5 linked regions of the Canis lupus familiaris genome follow. The protein of the gene in region 1 purifies or fractionates together with the protein of each later gene. This does not show direct contact. Links are inferred from orthologs where the notes say so. Each region holds a gene or a part of one and is shown in the gene's direction. Other genes may lie near its edges. The genes, in order: ACTR3B, ARPC5, ARPC5L, ARPC1B and ARPC3.

The links.
Region 2: the proteins of ACTR3B (region 1) and ARPC5 purify together in Homo sapiens (affinity purification with mass spectrometry; 5 studies listed by BioGRID and IntAct, counting the BioPlex papers as one, with this or other methods). This does not show direct contact. The link is inferred for Canis lupus familiaris from reciprocal best matches to the Homo sapiens genes ACTR3B and ARPC5.
Region 3: the proteins of ACTR3B (region 1) and ARPC5L purify together in Homo sapiens (affinity purification with mass spectrometry; 3 studies listed by BioGRID and IntAct, counting the BioPlex papers as one, with this or other methods). This does not show direct contact. The link is inferred for Canis lupus familiaris from reciprocal best matches to the Homo sapiens genes ACTR3B and ARPC5L.
Region 4: the proteins of ACTR3B (region 1) and ARPC1B purify together in Homo sapiens (affinity purification with mass spectrometry; 5 studies listed by BioGRID and IntAct, counting the BioPlex papers as one, with this or other methods). This does not show direct contact. The link is inferred for Canis lupus familiaris from reciprocal best matches to the Homo sapiens genes ACTR3B and ARPC1B.
Region 5: the proteins of ACTR3B (region 1) and ARPC3 purify together in Homo sapiens (affinity purification with mass spectrometry; 6 studies listed by BioGRID and IntAct, counting the BioPlex papers as one, with this or other methods). This does not show direct contact. The link is inferred for Canis lupus familiaris from reciprocal best matches to the Homo sapiens genes ACTR3B and ARPC3.

Annotation. Positions count from the first base shown.
Region 1 is NC_049237.1:17,238,218-17,241,732, forward strand, and holds part of ACTR3B (actin-related protein 3B), read left to right. Parts: intron 1-1,534; coding exon 1,535-1,659; intron 1,660-2,570; coding exon 2,571-2,681; intron 2,682-3,515. UniProt on the Homo sapiens protein: Plays a role in the organization of the actin cytoskeleton.
Region 2 is NC_049228.1:16,863,834-16,868,075, reverse strand, and holds the start of ARPC5 (actin-related protein 2/3 complex subunit 5), read left to right. Parts: upstream 1-1,433; 5' UTR 1,434-1,610; coding exon 1,611-1,753; intron 1,754-4,122; coding exon 4,123-4,195; intron 4,196-4,242. UniProt on the Homo sapiens protein: Component of the Arp2/3 complex, a multiprotein complex that mediates actin polymerization upon stimulation by nucleation-promoting factor (NPF).
Region 3 is NC_049230.1:58,229,885-58,232,293, reverse strand, and holds part of ARPC5L (actin-related protein 2/3 complex subunit 5-like protein), read left to right. Parts: intron 1-1,292; coding exon 1,293-1,365; intron 1,366-2,303; coding exon 2,304-2,409. UniProt on the Homo sapiens protein: May function as component of the Arp2/3 complex which is involved in regulation of actin polymerization and together with an activating nucleation-promoting factor (NPF) mediates the formation of branched actin networks.
Region 4 is NC_049227.1:10,274,255-10,277,839, reverse strand, and holds the end of ARPC1B (actin-related protein 2/3 complex subunit 1B), read left to right. Parts: intron 1-305; coding exon 306-512; intron 513-602; coding exon 603-678; intron 679-1,440; coding exon 1,441-1,646; intron 1,647-2,380; coding exon 2,381-2,471; intron 2,472-2,736; coding exon 2,737-2,775; 3' UTR 2,776-3,078; downstream 3,079-3,585. UniProt on the Homo sapiens protein: Component of the Arp2/3 complex, a multiprotein complex that mediates actin polymerization upon stimulation by nucleation-promoting factor (NPF).
Region 5 is NC_049247.1:8,505,869-8,510,107, reverse strand, and holds the start of ARPC3 (actin-related protein 2/3 complex subunit 3), read left to right. Parts: upstream 1-1,432; 5' UTR 1,433-1,504; coding exon of another isoform or gene 1,505-1,510; 5' UTR 1,511-1,538; coding exon 1,539-1,541; intron 1,542-4,239. UniProt on the Homo sapiens protein: Component of the Arp2/3 complex, a multiprotein complex that mediates actin polymerization upon stimulation by nucleation-promoting factor (NPF).

The DNA of each region.
Region 1 (3,515 bases):
CTGCATGAAGACTTTGAGGTCTGCTTCAAGCCATCTTGCTAGGGGCCCTTTGTAATACATGATGTGTGCATCAGATGGTTCTTTTTTTGGGGGGGGGGCATCAGATGGTTCTGTGTGAGGTCTGTCCCTGTGCCATTGAGTGGCGTGGTCAGTTTTTGGAGGTCGTTTTGTTTGTTTCTACAGATCGCCTCAGTCAGGTAGGGCCCATCAGACTTTTCTGCCCTGTTGCCAGCCTCAGGGCTCTGGACATGCTTACCGGCTTTGGCATGAACACACTCACTAGGCTCTGCCCCTGGCATTTTCACACCACACCTGCTTCTTCAGTCTTGCAGAAATCCTGTCCCTTACATTTGTGCCCCCTTTTGTAACTCAGAAGCTTTGAGTCCAAACGTGGCAGTGAGTTGGAGTGAGGAAAGGAGGTGGGAAGAGTGGTTTCTTTCCTGGACCTTTTCCTTTTCACCTCTTCCACCTGTTACTGCAAACAATGCCTTTCTGAGGAAAAGAATTCAAATTCACTTGTATATCTTTATTGTGATTCTTCATTTGTAATAAATTGGGGATTTCAGATAGTCTGCTTTAAAAATAATTTGGAATAAATTTGGTGAAGATGAGTTAATGGGAGCTCAGCGGTTAGACCAGAGGTTAGGAATTTATTTATTTGAGATAGTGAGAGTGAGCATAAACAGGGAGAGGGGCAGAGGAAAAGGGACGCAGACTCCATGCTGAGCAGGAAGCTCAATCCCAGGACGCTGGGATCATGACCTGAGCCGAAAATAGACGCTTAACCAATTGAGCCACCCAGGTGTCCAGGGGTTAGGAATTTAAATGGAGAATTGAATCTTTGTGAAGCTTCCACATTTCATTAGATGTTAAATTCTAGAGTGGAGTCCTGTGTGTTTATTTACTAAGTATATTCCCAAATGTCAAGGTTAAACTCTTATTACAATAATGTATCATAAAAGCATTGATACGTTTACCTAATACAGCTGTTTGATTATTGTACTTTTCACAGTGGATATTCACCACCAATCTCTTTATTTTCCTCCTAATGTAATCAGTTATCTTTCTATAATAAGATTAAAAATACGTATTTTAAATCTGTCTGATACAGAGTTTTGGTAAAATGACTTAGAGTGTATAGGTATTATTTTTCAGTTTTCTCTTTTTATCATATCTTTAACTTTGTCTACTTCTGTATTGTATTTTAAAATTTGGAGCCTATAATACAGTCCATGGGCATTTCATTTACTATCTTGAAGGATTTCTTTAGGTGAAAGTAAGAGATTTAGTGATGTCATTTCTGTCTGATTAAAGGCAGATCAGCTAAGTTCCTTTGTACCATTTTAAAAATAACACTGCAACATAAAACTCGTTCCTGTATTTTATGTACTCATTGATATTGTCTTTTCTGTGAACTGCCTCCACCCCCAATAAAACCCTAACATTGAAAATGTGCTTGTACATACATGGGGATTATATTATCCTTTAATGTGAATAGTGATGGAAGTCTTTGTGCTTTTTTTTTTTTTTTAAGGTATTGCCATCAGAGAGTCGGCAAAGGTAGTTGATCAAGCCCAGAGGAGGGTGTTGAGGGGAGTCGACGACCTGGACTTTTTCATAGGGGATGAGGCCATAGATAAGCCCACGTATGCCACGAAGGTGAGCTCCTCAGAGGAATTTACTTCTTTAACTGTGTAGCCAAGAGCAGAGCAGTGGAATGAATAGTGCAGAATGGCAGATTATCTAGAAATTGTTTTTTTTATTTATTTTATTTATTTTATTTATTTTATTTTTTTTTTAGAAATTGTACTTTATGGGCTATGGGCATATTTTTATTTTTTATTTTTTTAAAGACTATTTATTCATGAGAGAGACACAGAGAGAGAGAGAGAGGCAGAGACACAGGCAGAGGGAGAAGCAGTCTCCAAGTAGGGGGCCTGATGTGGGACTTGATCCCAGGTCTCCAGGATCACACTCTGGGCTGAAGGCAGCGCTAAACCGCTGAGCCACCCAGGCTGCCCTATATTTTTTATTCTTATGTTTTAAAAGAAGGTTTGTTGTTTTTGAATGGGGTATTTTTGATGCAGGGAATCCAGTGAACTTACAGAACTCTGGAAGGTAGAACTGACACAGGCAGTGCTGGGTTACACGCAAAAACAAGATCTGCTCCTGTGGAAAATTTCAGGTTGATTAATTAACCTGTCAGATATGGGAAGTTACAGATTGATTAATTTAGGGGAAAAAAAAGGACAAAAATTAAGTAGACATTTGTTCTAGAAAAAAAAAAGCTCCAGATTGAAGTGCGCAGTGGATGGTGTGCACTTTTCCATCTGTTACCCACAGTAAAGATGGTTCTTCATGCTTAGAGGTGGGCACAGTAGAGTATCAACTGTAGTATAGTGAATGTTTCTGCTAATGTGCCTCTTATTTCTTCCCATGAATGAGCATCAGTGCCTGTGCACCAGGCCGTGCTGCCTACCAGGCCAGCCTGTCCTGGGCCAGCGTTGTTGGGCTCCTGCTCTTACTGCTGTGAGCTCAAGCTTGATGTGTTCTGCTCTCTCTTGCCATAGTGGCCAATAAGACATGGAATTATTGAGGACTGGGATCTTATGGAAAGGTTCATGGAACAAGTGATTTTTAAGTATCTTCGAGCTGAGCCTGAGGATCATTACTTTTTAATGGTGAGTAACTGCAGCTAAGAGGACTATATCCCTCAATATTCCAAGTTACTTAGATTTTATTTTTTCAGATTACTTAGATTGTATTTTTTATTCTTATTTATTTTAAAAATTTTTAAAGATTTTAAAGATTTTATTATTTGAGAGAGTGAGAAGGATAGTGAGAGCGAGCATGAGCAGGGGAGAGGAGCAGAGGGAGAAGCAGGCTCCCGTTGAGTAGGGAGCCCCATGCAGGACTGGATCCCAGGACCCCGGGATCATGACCTGAGGCAAAGGCAGACGCTCAACCACTGAGCTATCTTAGATTTTAAACTCAAGATATTCTTCTCTGGAGAGTTTTTAATTCTTGTTAAATCTATTTGTATGAATTGGGTGCTTTTTTGGCAAGTAACAGAAGGCTCAACAGAAGCGTCTAAAATCTGAGGGGGCTCATTGTCTCTCAGCACAGGAAGGCCAGAGTGGGGTGGTTCCCAGGCTGGGTACCCTAGGGCTCCAGTGGGGCTTCTTGTGTTGGTTTTCTGCAGGCCCCCAGGGTGACCACCCAAGCCCCTTTGTGCCACCTCTTGGTTTATATACTTTCAGAGGTTGAAGCACTTCGTAAGAATTAGGAGTCCCTTTTAGTTTATTTAATTTGTTTATTCTTAAGTAATCTCTACACTCTGTGGAGCTTGAACTCATGACTTTTGAGATCAAGAGGCTCATGCTCTTCTGACTGAACCAGCCAGGTGCCTCAGGGTTTAAATCTTACTATAAAATAAAGTTGAGCTGAGTTATGGGCCCTGATTACGGTACTTAATTGGTCTTGTGCAAATAAAACATTGCAGAGAAATGAGAAAT
Region 2 (4,242 bases), on another chromosome or scaffold:
TATGTAGAATTTTAGAGCTTCAGAACACTTTCCCGTACTTAGTCCTCAGAACAATCTCGCGAAGTACGTTATTATTAGCTCCACTTTAGCAACGAGGAACCTGAAATTGAGGATTTTAAGTGGCATGCCTCAATCAAATAGATTATGAGTGGAAGTCAATACTTCAGCCAGGGTTTTTGATTCTAAGTCCAGGGCTCGTTTCAATACAGCACAGGAAACCAAGGATTGGGGTATCAACAGGGCAACAGCTGGCTTTCTGCTAGAGGTGGAATTGAACGAGACCTGAGAGGATGTCAGGAAAACATAAAGCTATCTGAGCAGCGTCCAGCTAAATGTCCAAAATAATTTTATTCTGCAAATATTTGTGCTTCGGTGTTACACACACAGCACAACTACCATTTCTTTAGTGTTAGTGCCTTTGCCTCCTCAGTAAGGGCTTTGCTCTCAGAAACGAGGATGTCCAATGTAATAAAAAGCTGGCCTAGCAGGATCATATAAATCTCAAATCACAAATATAAATCTTCATCTCAAACCTACTAATCCTCACACGTTTTGTTTCCCCACAGCACCGGAGGGCATAGCTCGCCCCTATCCTTTTCTTCCGTGCTTGCTCCAAACCACCACTTATTTTTAAGATGCCGGTGACTGACCCTACCCCAAATTCCACAGGTCCGCCCCAGGTCTGCCACGCGAGCCCTTGCCCAGAACCTCCGTCTCCCTCCCCAAGGAGATGATACCTAGTTCAGGCTCTGCAGGTGCCGTCGGGATGCTGTCACACAGCACAGCCAGATAAGAGACGACCTTTCGACTCCGTCCTTGGGGACTTCCCGCTGGCCGCGCGGCGTAGCTCCAGCCCCGGGAAAGGGGCTCCCGGCTCAGGAACGCAGCCACGGGCAGCGCACGGTCCCAAGTGATGCCTCTGACAACTAGACCGACGCTGGGCGCCCGGGCGCGCATCACTCCGCCCCATACTCCTGCCAACTGCAGGGGACTCGGTCCGGCCACCAGTCCATCCCACCCCACAGGCAAGTCCGGGCCAGCCGGACCTCACGCAGGACCCCGGCGACAGGTCGCTGGCGGCGGCGGCGGCGGCGGCGGCGGCAGCAGGAGCCACCCGCCCCCAGAGCCCATAGCCGCCAGCCTAAGACCCCCGCCGCCCCCCTTCCGCGGGACCGCAGAGAAGCGTTGCTATGGAAACCCCCTGGGGATCACGTGACGCCCGCGGACGGCCAATCGCCTCTCACCTCTGCCCGCGGCGCCGCTTTCGGCCCGCCCCCGGCCCCGCCCCCGCCCGCCCCCGCCTCCCTCGCCCCGCCCCGCCCCCTTCCTGCCGCGAGCCCGCGCCTGCGCACTGCGCCCGGCGCGCCGTCCCTCGCGCGCGCGCCCGGGAGGAGCGGGGGCGGCGTGGGCGGCGGGCGGAGAGCATGTCGCCGAGGAGGAAGGAGCGCCGCCAGCGCGCAGGCCCAGAAGCGTCCGAGCCGCGGCTGCCGGCGACGCCCCAGAGCGGAAGAGGGAAGTGAAGGCGCCCGGGCTGCGGGTTCCTGGTGGGCTGCGCTTCCCGAGGGCGAGGCAGCACCGAGAGGAGGCTTAGGCCGCCGGTCCGGCTCGCGATGTCGAAGAACACGGTGTCGTCGGCCCGGTTCCGGAAGGTGGACGTGGATGAGTACGACGAGAACAAGTTCGTGGACGAGGAGGACGGGGGCGACGGGCAGGCCGGGCCCGACGAAGGCGAGGTGGACTCCTGCCTGCGGCAATATCCTTGGCGTTTGCCGGCCTCCCCGCGCTCCCGCCCCGCCCCGCCCCGGGACCCCGCGACCCCGCCCGGGGACCCCGCCCGCCGGGCCGCTCCCGGGGCAGGGGCGGCGGCTCTGGCCCTGCGGGGTCCGCCGGACGGGCGGCCGGGGGCGCTCCCGCGTCTAGCCGAGTCACCCCGGGTCACCCCGGGTCACCCCGGAGCCCGCCCCCGCCCCGACTCCTCAGGTGGCGGCCCGAGTCGCTGCCCCGGGAAGCGGCGGGGCGGCCGCGCCCTCGGGGCTCGGAGGGGAGGCCTCGGCTGCTGTCCGCCGGCCCCGGGGGGAGGGGCAGGGGCCCGGGCCCGAGGTCACGGAGGTCCCCCCGCCCCTCCGGAGGTGTGCGATTGCGGGGAGCGGGCTGCCTGCGTCGTGGTGCTGGCGGTTCGCTCTTCGGCCGCGTTAGGAGAGTTCATTCCTCGCGGGGAGGCATGGGGCGGTGTGCACGGTCGAGGCCCCCTGGCCTTTTTAGCCCCTGGGCCCTTTTAATAATTATAGTTATTTACAGAGAAAGGAATTTGTTGCAGATACGAATGTGTTAGCCCCGGGGAAACGGAGTGAGTACGAAACGGCCAGCTCCCGACAAGGAAGCTTGGAGGCTTCTACCTGCGAAGCAAGGGGACAATGCACAGGGATGGCAGGTGGAGAATCCCTGGAAATATTTAAGATAAGCCCCAGTGAATAAAGTAGATGATGAGCAAAATAGACGATGAGTCATTTTGCGCAAAGCAGCATCATTTTTTATTTTTTTTATTTTTTATTTTTTGCAATCCTGAAATCCATTTCCATTTCAGTTAAAATGCGGCTGTCAGTTCCTGGGGTTTTTGGTGTTGTTTTTTTTTTTTTTTTTTTTTTGCATATTTGAATATTCATCAGTGTTGAGCGAGTATTTGGCACCACATCTCTTTTAGAAAAATGTAAATGTTGCAACAGCTAAAGCTGTAGTTCTAGAGATTCTCAATTACTGAATTCACTCACTTCTAATTATTCTTGAATGTATTCATAAGATAGGGAAGACTTTTTAAACCTCTCCTCATCAATGTTCTATTAAAGTATAATGGGGAAATAGGAGTGAAAATATTGGTTGTGACTATATCTAGTCTTAAAGGCACCTAAAATACAGCATTAAACATTTACCAACATACAGATGTTTCTTTGATTTCCACAACTCTCACAGTCAGCTGTTGCTCTGTTGCATTATTTAAATACGTAAGTGCTTTAAGGTCTTAAAAATGAGCCAGTCTGCCAAAGGAAGCTTTTCTAGAAGTTTGTTAAGCCTTGGAAATAACAGCTTACCACCAGCCATAGGGGGTTTTTGTTTTGGGGTGTTTTGGTTTTGTTTTGTTCTTTTTTTTCCAAACATAAGCAATGAACATTATTCTGTCTGAAAACATTCTTTGTAATGGATAAATGACGTTTTGTGAACTAACTTTAGGTTGATGGGTGCTGACTCTCAACTGGTACGGCTGGATCCATAAAATGGATCTGCTTTCTAATCTCTTTATCTTAAAAGATATTGTCTCTTCTCTTGTTGCAACCAGAAGAGACCAGCTCTAGTCAGGCACTACAGATGGAGGAACAAATGAACTCTGTGGTTTTCCTTTTAGGGGAATGACTGTATATTCTGACAGTCTGATTGGCCTTCCGTGTCTCATACTTGCTAACTCACTGGTGCTTTCAAAGACTAAATTTAATAGGTATGACCTAAAACAGTGTCAATGACCTTTTTGGAAGTATAAGAGAAAATATGCAAAACAGAAAAATTAAGCTACAGCCTAAAGGACATTGAATTATTAGATCTTTTGTTAATATTGAGAGGTTACTAATGTGTATCATGTAGAGTGCTGGAATAATTACCAGCATTTTCTACAAGTATTTCAATTAAGATAGAATATAATTCTAGCAAAAGTTTGGTCCATATTTTTCCAGTTAAGAATCACATAAAAAGACATTTTGGTTGAGGGTATGCTGTTTCATTTGGGGACCTAATAATTCTAATACGTAGATATGTAATTTAAAATATACGTATCACTCTGAATAATGTTTCATATGTGTCTTACTGGAAAATAAAAGGCTCTCGAAGTGTTCATTTAGTAATTAGAGCCAGGCCGGAACTGGTCTTTGCCTTATTACCTCCTCTTATGTTCTCTGTGTTTTACATGTGATTGACATCCTTGAAACCAACATACTGAGTTTTCCAATATTGAACATAGCGATCGTGGTAATTTTTCTTTCTACGTATAAAGTCAAGTCTTAAGAACCAATGATACCTGGTAGTTCCGATGTTTTTCTGAAGGCTCCCCTTTGCTGCTATCCCCTTAACCTCCATCACAGGAAACATGACAGCCGCCCTACAGGCAGCTCTGAAAAATCCCCCTATCAACACCAAGAGTCAGGCCGTGAAGGTGAGTCAGACGCTGGTGTCTTAGCATTCTTTCCAAAATCCTCTGAA
Region 3 (2,409 bases), on another chromosome or scaffold:
AAAGCAGTGACTCTTTGCCCCTGCAGACTAGTTCACCTGCCCCTCCCCATCCATCTCTTGAATGATTTTGTTTTCCAGCCATACTGGTTAGTGAAGAGAGCCAGCCTACACTTCTTTTAAACTCCCGAGTCTCTGTTAATTAATTGCTCTGGAACGCCAAACCAGAAAACAGTTCCAAGGTAGACGTTATCAGTGGCTGACACCAGACTGGCCCTTGTCTGGCTGAGGAAAAGGAATTCCAAGCCAGCAGATACAAGGAGTGGGCTGCCTCCATTGTGGAAGGTGCATCAGGGCCCAGCAGGGAGCTGGGAGCTCAGCAGGAGTGGCTCCTGGGTGGTGTGGGCCCAGCTTAGTCAAGATGGAGCCCATATTAGGGAAGATGGGTCTGGGCTTTGCTCCGGTGGCTTTGTCTGTTCACACGTAGGATTCACTGCACAAACAGGAGTAGAGACCTGTTTGGGCAGAAGCCATTCCTTATTCTATTTTTGAACCTTTTTGGCTGAAGCCAGTGTTGTAGATGAGGAAATGAAAGTTGGCTGATGTAATTCAGTTTAAAATAGGTGTCACCTTTGGGGACCTAACCCAGATTGTCATTTTCTTTTGAGTGCTGTGTATTCAGAACTCAGCAAAGAATGTGTCAAGATTGCAACTAAGGTTGAGGGGAGAGGGAAGGCTTGGCTTATATTTTGGGAAAAAGCTTTTAAATGAATAAACCTCCCTCTTAGTAGTTGGGACCTCACAGACCTGGATAGGTCTTGGAAGATAGAAGTTTTAGCACATCTTAATTTCTTTAGCAGCTTAACCAATGAAACAGTGGATAAAGAGGAGACCTCCATTTGTGCCTTTGTTCTTCCTTTTTGAGAATGAGAATGTGAGAGGGATAGTCTCACATCATCGTGAGGACCCAGCAGGGCAGACATGGTGCCCAGTACCAAGCAAGTGCAAGTGAGCTCAGTCAGATTCTATTGCAGGTCACCCCCAGAGGGCACTTGCTTTGCTTCTGCCTTCCATGGTAGGGGAGAAATGTCCAAATGTGTTTTGGGGGCAGCAGAACGAGGGACTTGCACAATTGGCAGAGGTGCTCTCTATTCTTTGTGTGGCTCAGGAAGGCTATAGGCTACTCTCTAAATGGGCTGTGGCCACCTGGAAGCTGCAGTGAAGTGTGTGTGTGGGGGTGGTGGTGGATGTGAATGTCATTTGACTCTTCTCCTTTGAGCTGTTTTTGAAATGAGTTCATTAATAGAAGCGTGGACATGCTTGAGCCGAGCCATCCTTAACTGGTGGTGATGCACAGGGGACATGCTTCGGGCATTCCATGCAGCCTTGCGGAACTCTCCCGTCAACACCAAGAATCAAGCTGTGAAGGTAAAGGGGATCATGCTGCCGCTTTGCTGGGTGGTGCTCGCACCAGGGCTGTGATTGTCTGTGTCCGCAGCTGAGGGCTCCCTGGGGCTCCAGACAGGGTCTGTTTTGCGTCCACCTCAGTGAGGATCTACCAAGAGAGTGAGTTGGCACTGGGCAGTGCTTCCATGGAAGCCTCCTGGCACTCCTGACATCAAAACTGTCTATGTTTATAGTAAAAGCTCCCCAAAGAAACATTCACTCCTCCCCAGGGCCTCATGGGGGTGAGAAGTTGGCCCAGCCCTTACTGCTTAGCAAAACTCTAAATTAGCTTGCCACATGGGACTTAGCAGTGTTTCTGCTTTAAAGGTTTTTGAATAGGCTTTATTTGCATAAGGATTTTCAGTCAAGATTTCCTGCCTTTTAAAAAGAAGGGGAGAAGATGCTTACTGCATCACAGCTGCTTAGAAGCTGTCTGAACTTGGGTTCAGGGAGAGGGGTCTCTCTGAAGCTGGGGTTTTGCCATCTTGTGACAGCATGGTGATGTCAGCAGCGGTTGCACCTCCTTGGTGGGGGGAAATGCCCCCCCCCCCCCCCCCCCCCCCCCGTGTTACTGGGGTGAGTGCAGAGGGAGACTGCAGCTTTTCTTACACCTGTGAAGAAAATAGACATGTTAAGAAAACAGCTGTGATCTGGTGGCATCTGAGGCCCGGCCCATGTCATAGAGGCAGGTTTCTCCCCAGTAAACCACTCACTCTCCCCCAGATTAGTGGAAGAATTTATGGGCATAAAGAAGGGATATGTTGACATGTAAATAAATGAGAGGATTTGAGCACTTATTTTGCAAGCAGCCCAGACAAGTCAGTAATTGGTCAGTGTTTCTGAGAATTCTGACCAGTTGGTGGGGCATTCCTGTGCCTGGGCTTTGGCCCTGGGCATCGCTGCCTCCTTCTCCTTCACAGGAACGAGCCCAGGGCGTGGTGCTGAAGGTGCTTACCAACTTCAAGAGCAGTGAGATTGAGCAGGCTGTGCAGTCGCTGGACAGAAACGGCATTGACTTGCTAATGA
Region 4 (3,585 bases), on another chromosome or scaffold:
GTCCCAAGGGCCGGCTGCGGAGCATAGGCGCCAGCATGGTGGAGACCAGGACAGCCCCAGGGGCTGTGTCAGTGTTGTTAGTCCTCAGATGAGGGCCCCAGGGCCCTGGGAGTTCATGGGGGACCTCCTGGCCCCATTCTGCTGCACGAGGGCACCGAGGCCCAGATTGGCCCAAGCATGAGGACTCAGGCCATGAAGAGCTGGCTCTGGTTCCCACCAGTTCCGGGCTGAGCACTGACCTCACCGGGTGGGTCTGGGAGAGACGCCCCAGTCATGGAGGTCTGTTTCTTGCTCTGCCCTGGCAGGATCTTCTCGGCCTACATCAAGGAGGTGGAGGAGCGGCCAGCACCCACCCCGTGGGGCTCCAAGATGCCCTTTGGGGAGCTGATGTTTGAGTCTAGCAGTAGCTGTGGCTGGGTGCACGGCGTCTGCTTTTCGGCCAGTGGTAGCCGCGTGGCCTGGGTCAGCCACGACAGCACCATGTGCCTAGCCGATGCCGACAAGAAAATGGCGTGAGTAAAGGCCATGGGGGGCAGCAGGGGGGTGACGGGCACAGGGCAGGAGGGGCTGGAGCGGCTGACCTCTCTGTCTCTCTCTCTCAGTGTTGCCACTCTGGCCTCTGAAACGCTGCCACTGCTGGCCCTGACCTTCATCACAGAAAACAGTCTGGTGGCAGCGGTGAGGCGGGGAGGGGGAGAGTGGGAAAGGGAGAGAGGGAGGGGTGCTGATGAGGGTGGCCCTTTACTGGTTCCCTGCTCCCCCTCCCCCAGCCCCTAGTCTTTTTTTCCTTCCTGGTCCAAATAGGCTGGGAGGGGCCACCTGGTCTCTAGCATGCTCCCTGGCTGCTGTGAAGGGAGAAGGGGGAGCAGAAAATTGTGCCCTGCACTCTAGGGTTTCTGCTTCCCTACTAACTCTGGCTATGTGGGGGCAGCACAGTTGGGAACACACATCCAGAAGGGCACTGCCCTCCCTCCTTCTGCCCACTGATCTCTCCAATCCCTTTTCACCCCTCAACAAACCTCAGGTCCCGGGGGGGTGGGGCCAGGGGGGGATCAGGCCTGGTTTGCCTACAGAAGCATTCAGCTATGGGTGTTTGCCCAGAGTGGGTGTAACCAGTTGGGCAGGGCAGAAGGTCCCCAAGCTTCTAGGAGAGTCTTGGACAAGTTTTCTCAACTGGGCGTTGGCCTTGCCAGGGGAGGGGGCACCCCTAGATGCTCACCCCCAGCATGTGGTCCCTGTTGGTATGCCTGGCGTCAGCGTAGCTGTCTCTGAACTGGCACTGGCTTCCCAGTAGCTCCACCCAGGTCCTGCCACCCGGCTTCTGGCCAGACAGCCCCCATCTGTGTCACGCCTGGTCTCCAGCCTGTTGACTCACACAGAAGATAGGGGTGCTGTGCCAGCCCTCGGGCCTGCTCCAATGATACCCCCACCCTATTGCAGGGCCACGACTGTTTTCCGGTGCTGTTTACCTATGACAGCACCACAGGGACACTGAGTTCTGGTGGGCGGCTGGACGTGCCCAAGCAGAGCTCACAGCGTGGCCTGACCGCCCGAGAGCGCTTCCAGAACCTGGACAAGAAGGCGAGCTCAGAGGGCAGCGTGGCTTCTGGCTCCGGCCTGGACTCACTGCATAAGAACAGCGTGAGGTGAGAGCGGGACTGATGCCACTGGGAGGAGAAATAAAGCCAAAGTAGGGGCTGGGGGCCCTGACTGAGGAAATGGGGTGACCCTCTAGGTTGCACAAAAATAACATCGGGCCAGGATGCAAACCCAGCAGTGGGTGTGCTCTGCATTTTTTGAAGAAGGTCTGTGGGATGACCAGAGGGCACCCAACCCTGCAGGGCAGGGCTGAGGCTGAAGTGGTCCTGCTGTTGCCTCCTTGTGCAACTAGGCAGGATGAAGAGAAACTATCCACAACGCTCCAATCCTGCCAGCCACAGGTGTCCACCCTGCAGCAACCTGGGAAGACTTCCTGACTTGGCCCCTTGGCTGGGTGACCCCCTCCCATGGCTATCAGGCCGTGTTTTCAGACTAACCCCTGAGCCCAGCCTTCAGGGCTTATTGGAATGACCCCGCATGTCCTCCCAGCTCCAGGTTTTGCTTTTTGCCCCCATCCTGCTCCACGGTCACCCTGGACATTACCCCACACACGTGATTCATGCCGTTGCACATCTGGTTCTATTTCCCTGGATTTCCCTTGGCACCTTGCACATTCCTGCTCCTCCTCAAAGCAGACTCATGCAACCCCGCGGGCCACCTCCCAGGCTCTGTGCTGAGCACCCCAACTGTACATCCCAGTGCTTCTCACTGGAGTTAGCTGCTCCCCAGAGGGCAAGCAGGGCTCCAGCTGGGACCCGTCAAGCCCCCCTCTTCTTTGCAGCCAGATCTCGGTGCTCAGCGGGGGCAAGGCTGAGTGCTCACAGTTCTGCACCACAGGAATGGATGGTGGCATGAGCATCTGGGATGTGAAGGTGAGTCCTAGCCCACCATGGCCCTTCCTCCCCCTCGTCCTCCCTGGAAAGCCCTCTCCGTCCCTACAGAAGAAAGGCACTTCTTTGGGATGAAGAAGGGGGAAGAGTAGCACCACCCTGGGCACCTCCCTTTAGGGCTGGATTAAAACCAAGTCTGTCCAGCTCCAAAGCCCAGGTTCTCTGTCCTCTGCCTGGCTGGAGCTGGGATGGCGGTGAGTGGGACCACCGTGAGAACTAGCCTGTCTGTTCTGCTGTCTCTTTCCAGAGCTTGGAATCAGCCTTGAAGGACCTCAAGATCAAATGACCCATGAGGAATATGTTGCCCTCATCCCCACTGCTGGGGAAGGGGGTCAAGAAGGCTAAGGGTCGCTTTGCTGAATGTTTTTAGGGTAGTAGTCTGGGTCCCCCTGGAGACTGCTCCAGCCAGAGGGGAGGGCAAAGTGGGGAGGGGAGGGAAGCTTTTCTTACCTATTGAAGGAACATAGGTCTTTTTGTCAGAGAAATGTTTTCATTTATTGTTAAAAACAAAAATGTTCCCAAAGCACTGTGCTGGTCATGAACTGCTTCAAAAACATGGAGGTAATAAAAAAGCAATCTTAGAACTGGTCTCCTGTGTTTGGGAGAAGTCCGTATTTGCATGGGCACAGGTAGCTTGCTTCTGCTCACCAGCAAAATTGATCCTTAAACCTGAGGGTCTTCTCCTGAATACTTCCCTTTCCCCTGTAGTCCTGTGGGGAGTGGGGGTGGGGGGGCAGACCCTGGTGGCTGTCACTCTGTAGTCAGTCCTAGACCGGTGGTTGCACACCTTTCCAGGCTGCTTCTGAGCTTTAATGGAAATTGATGTTTGCAGCTGGTTTCTGATAAATGTGCTCATTTCCTCAATTTCCCCCCATTCATTCCTATTTCACTCAGAGGGCCTCTTCTGTTTAACACAAGCTTCTCACTTACCTATTTATTCAGTCATAGCTGGGTAATTACATCCACAGATCCTAATTGTGAACTGTCCTTACATTTGCAGGACAAAGGCTTCCTAAACATGCCTTCTCTCAGATTGTTCTAGGGTCTATCCCTCAGGATAGCCCCCTTGATCGGAAGAGGCCCATGATTCTTCTTT
Region 5 (4,239 bases), on another chromosome or scaffold:
TAACTTTTAAAAAACATATGTATATAAATAAAATAAATATAAAAATAGTGCTAACTTTTCATTACACTCCTGTTTTTTAGTCAGAATCTGAAATACTCATCCAGGGCAAATTTTTGAATGACTAAATTTGCCCAACTGTCAAAATGTAGCCAGTGATTTCTTTAAAAATGCAATTGTGTCTGAGCATTTAAAAATTTATACTTTCCTGGGTAATAATAGCAGATGCACAAAAAAGGCAAAAGACATTTTTTTCTTCTTAAAGAAAAGAATTGCACCTTGATTGAATTGTTTATTTTCAGTAGCATTGGGTATGAAAGCAATGGGGAGTGTCTAGTCCATCTGTGATGGGCTAGGCCCTGTTAAGAAAAGCAGAATCTAATTTATTGAGTTCTGCCAGACCTTGTGCTAAGAAACATTTTACATAATCTCTTTCATTTAATCCTCATTACAGCCCAGTCTTCCTTGGCTATTTGGGCCTGGATCTTCCAGCTGATACAAATTAAACCCTTACAGAAAACTGGAAACAGGTTAAATTTTTCATCATTCTTGGGCTAGGTAGCAGGAGTACACCTGCAGTGTCACGTTTGATCCATTTTAACTAAAGATGCCCCATGTGTGAAGAACCACAGCTATCAGTGGTAACTTGTGTCTGGGAGGTTAGGCCAGGGGCATAAGTCAAGTATTTGCATCCTAGTCCATCAAGGTGAGCTATTGTACGGTGGAGAGGTACGGCCAGCAGGAGAGAACTTGAATGGGCATCATGGGAATGTGCTGTCCTGTGTCAGGACTCTTGTCTGTGGCCCTGAGTATGAAAGGGTGAGAACACCCTGATCTGCATAATTTTTAGAAATTTTATTGTCGTAGAAGAAAGGAAAGTCAAACTAACATTTGAAGTGCTTTCTAAGATTAGGTTAAAAAAAAAACAAAACAGGGCAGCCCAGTGGCTCAACGGTTTAGTGTCTTGCCTTCAGCTCAGGGCATGATCCTGGAGGCCCAGGATCGAGTCCCACATCGGGCTCCCTGCATGGAGCCTGTTTCTCCCTCTGCCTGTGTGTGTCTCTGCCTCTCTGTCCTCCTCTCATGAATAAAATCTTAAAAAAAAAAAAATCATAAGGAAATCAGGATGACGCAGAGGAGTGGGGTAGGACTGAATTTAAAATAATGTGATCCAGAGAATGCTTTCCTAGAAAGATGAAATTTGAGGAAAAATCAAGGAAGTGGTGGATGCCGAGGATTCTGAAACCCAAGATCTAGCCCCATTTCGCGCACACTTTACCATGCACGGCACTCACAATCCCTACTCAGTGCTCGGGCGCCCTCTGGCGCCCCTTCGTCCCTGCGCAGCCGCAGCAGCTTCCGGCGGGACCGCGAGACCGGAAGTGCCGCGTCCTCCCCTCCCCCTCTCCTTCCGGCTCACTTCCGCCTACCCCGCCCGGGCCGCCGGACAGGAAGCGCCGAGCTCTATCCCCAGCCTCGTCTGGCTAGAAACCCGGTCGCCGCCAAGATGCCGGTAAGGAGGCCAATTCGCAGTGTGGGAGATGGTGAGAACTGGGAGAGCAGCGAGAAATCATGCGTGAGCTGAGAGAAGTGGGCGGAGGAGGGCAGAGAAGAAGCGGGGCCTGAGAAGGGGAGAAGCTAGGAAGAGGGGCCTGTGGCTGTAGGATGGGGTTGCCCGGGGGTGTCGGCGAGGGGGACGGGGCCGGAGCACCTGGGGCCAAAGACCCTGAGCGTGGAGAGGAGGCTGGCTCGGCCCCTCTCGCCCTCTTCGCTGCAGTGCTGCCCCTTCTCTCCTTCTTTCTGTATCCCCCGACTCCAGCAGAATCCCCAAAGATTCACTGGAGCCGAGAAGACAAGGGCTGTGCTTTTTATTTTCCATTTTTCAAGTCTAGGATCCGGCTGCTTTTTCTTCCCCCCACAGGCCCACTTCCTCCTTGGCCCCAGGGGGCGGGTTCCTCCCGCTGCTTGTCACTGCCATACCCCACTTCCCGGACTCCTCTGTCTCCCCAGCAGTGGCGGCCACCCCTAGCTGCTGGGTGTAGGGCCGCCAGAGCAGACGCAGGGTCCGCTCCTGGTTTCCAAATGCTTCTGTTTTCGTGTGCATCAGAGTAGGAGCAAGATGATAGTAGTGTCTGGTTGTCCTTCATTTCTGACAGCCAGTCTGGTGGAGTGAATTCACCACCATCATGGTCTCCATTTTGCAGATGAGGTAAAGGAGGTTCAATAACGTGATAAACTCACTCAAAAAACATTACTGAGTACCTGCTGCATGCCAAGTACTGTTACAGCAGTGAATAAAGCCAACAAATCCCTAGGCTCAAAGAGTGTACATTCTAATGGGGAGACAGCACAAACGTGTATATGTAAATTGAAAAAGATAGTTTTACAGATTTTTTTTTGAGAGAGAGTGCCAGCAGGGAGAGGGGGTTAAGTGGCAGCAGAGGGAGAGGGACTAGTAGTCTGCAACTTAGTGTGGAGCCAGAAGCTCTATCCCACCAACTTAGGATCATGACCTGAGCCTGTCGCTTAACCGACTGAGCCACCTGGCTGTCCCTAAGATAGTTTTAGGTAGTGACAAATGCAATGAAGGAAATAGATGGGTAACAAACAAGACAGCTAGTGAAGGAGAGGGTGGAGGCTGCTTTAGGTAAAGGATTACTGATGACAAAGAGGAGCAAGCTATAGTTAGAGATACTTAATGAGTCTTGTTGGTACCATTCAATTCCTGACGTGTGCCAGACTGGCCCTGAACTATACACTGCATGTAAGTTACTCCATGTTATCCTCACAATAACCCTGTGAAGTCCATGCTTATTGTTCCCGTATTGCAGAGAAGGAAATTGAGGCCCAGAGAAGTATGATAACTTACCCAAGGTTGCAATATTTCAAGCTATGACTTTAATTTTATTTTATTTAATAAAGTTATTTATTTTATTTATTTGAGAAGAGAGAGAGTAAGCCCTGAGCAGGGGTGAGGAGCAGAGGGAGAGAGAGAAGCAGGCTCCCAACTAAGCAGAGACCCCAACATGGGCCTTGGTCCCAGGACCCTGAGATTGTGATCTGAGCTGAAGGCAGATGCTTAACCAACTGAGTCACCCAGGTGCTCCTTAAGGCTAGGACTTTAAAGTCCTGTGCTCATTCCTGGATTTCCCTGCGATAACTTATTTAATATCTGCCTCTTCCATTAGCCTGAAAGTTCTTCAGGGGCAGAGATACTGGTCTTGCATACCATTTTTTCATGATGCTTTGCACATTGAAGGTGCTTGATAATCGTTTGGTAAATGAATGAATATATGAATGGGGCTTTTCTGTTACTAAAAGCCAGACATCGGGGATCCCTGGGTGGCTCAGCAGTTTGGCACCTGCCTTCTGCCTGGTGCCTGGGACGTGATCCTGGAGTCTGGGATCGAGTCCTGCATTGGGCTCCCTGCATGGAGCCTGCTTCTCCCTCTGCCTGTGTGTCTCTGCCTCTCTCTCTCTCCCTCTCTCTCTCTCTCTCTCTCATGAATAAATAAACTCTTTAAAAAATAAAAAATAAATAAATAAATGGGATTTTCCCTGCTCCTTTAACTCACTGAGGGCAGTAGATAACTCTTCTTTTTATGAATTTGGAAACAGGTGAAGAGAAGTGATGTCTTGGTCAAACACATAGCCAGGAAGTGGCAGAACTGAAAAGCCAGTGTTTGGGTTCTGGTTTAACAAGAGCTGGTGGGGTGATGTACCCCTGATTTATATAGTGTCTGCCTATTTCCATAGCATAAATACTCCCACCAGTTACCAATGTGATATCACCGAATATGGGATTGGAAGATGCACAGTAGCACACCATTATATAGCATTTCTGCCACAAAGATACAAAAGTTATATATAACCTTAAGATCATAGACAGTAGTAAAATAATTTTTAAAAATATGAAGTAATGAATTTTCAGCATTTATCACATTTGTTTTCAATATAATGCACTTAAATGCAAATTTACATAATTTAATTTTTAATAATGGCTTTTTTTTTAAGGATTTTCTTTATTCATGAAAGACACAGAGAGAGAGAGAGAGGCAGAGACACAGGCAGAGGGAGAAGCAGGCTCCATGCAGGGAGCCCGATGTGGGACTCAATCCCTGGACCAGGGATCACACTCTGAGCCGAAGGCAGACACTCAACTGCTGAGCCATCCAGGCATCCCATTAACGGCTGTTTTTAATAACCAGCTTGCCTCAATATTTTTCAAAATTCCTCAAAACA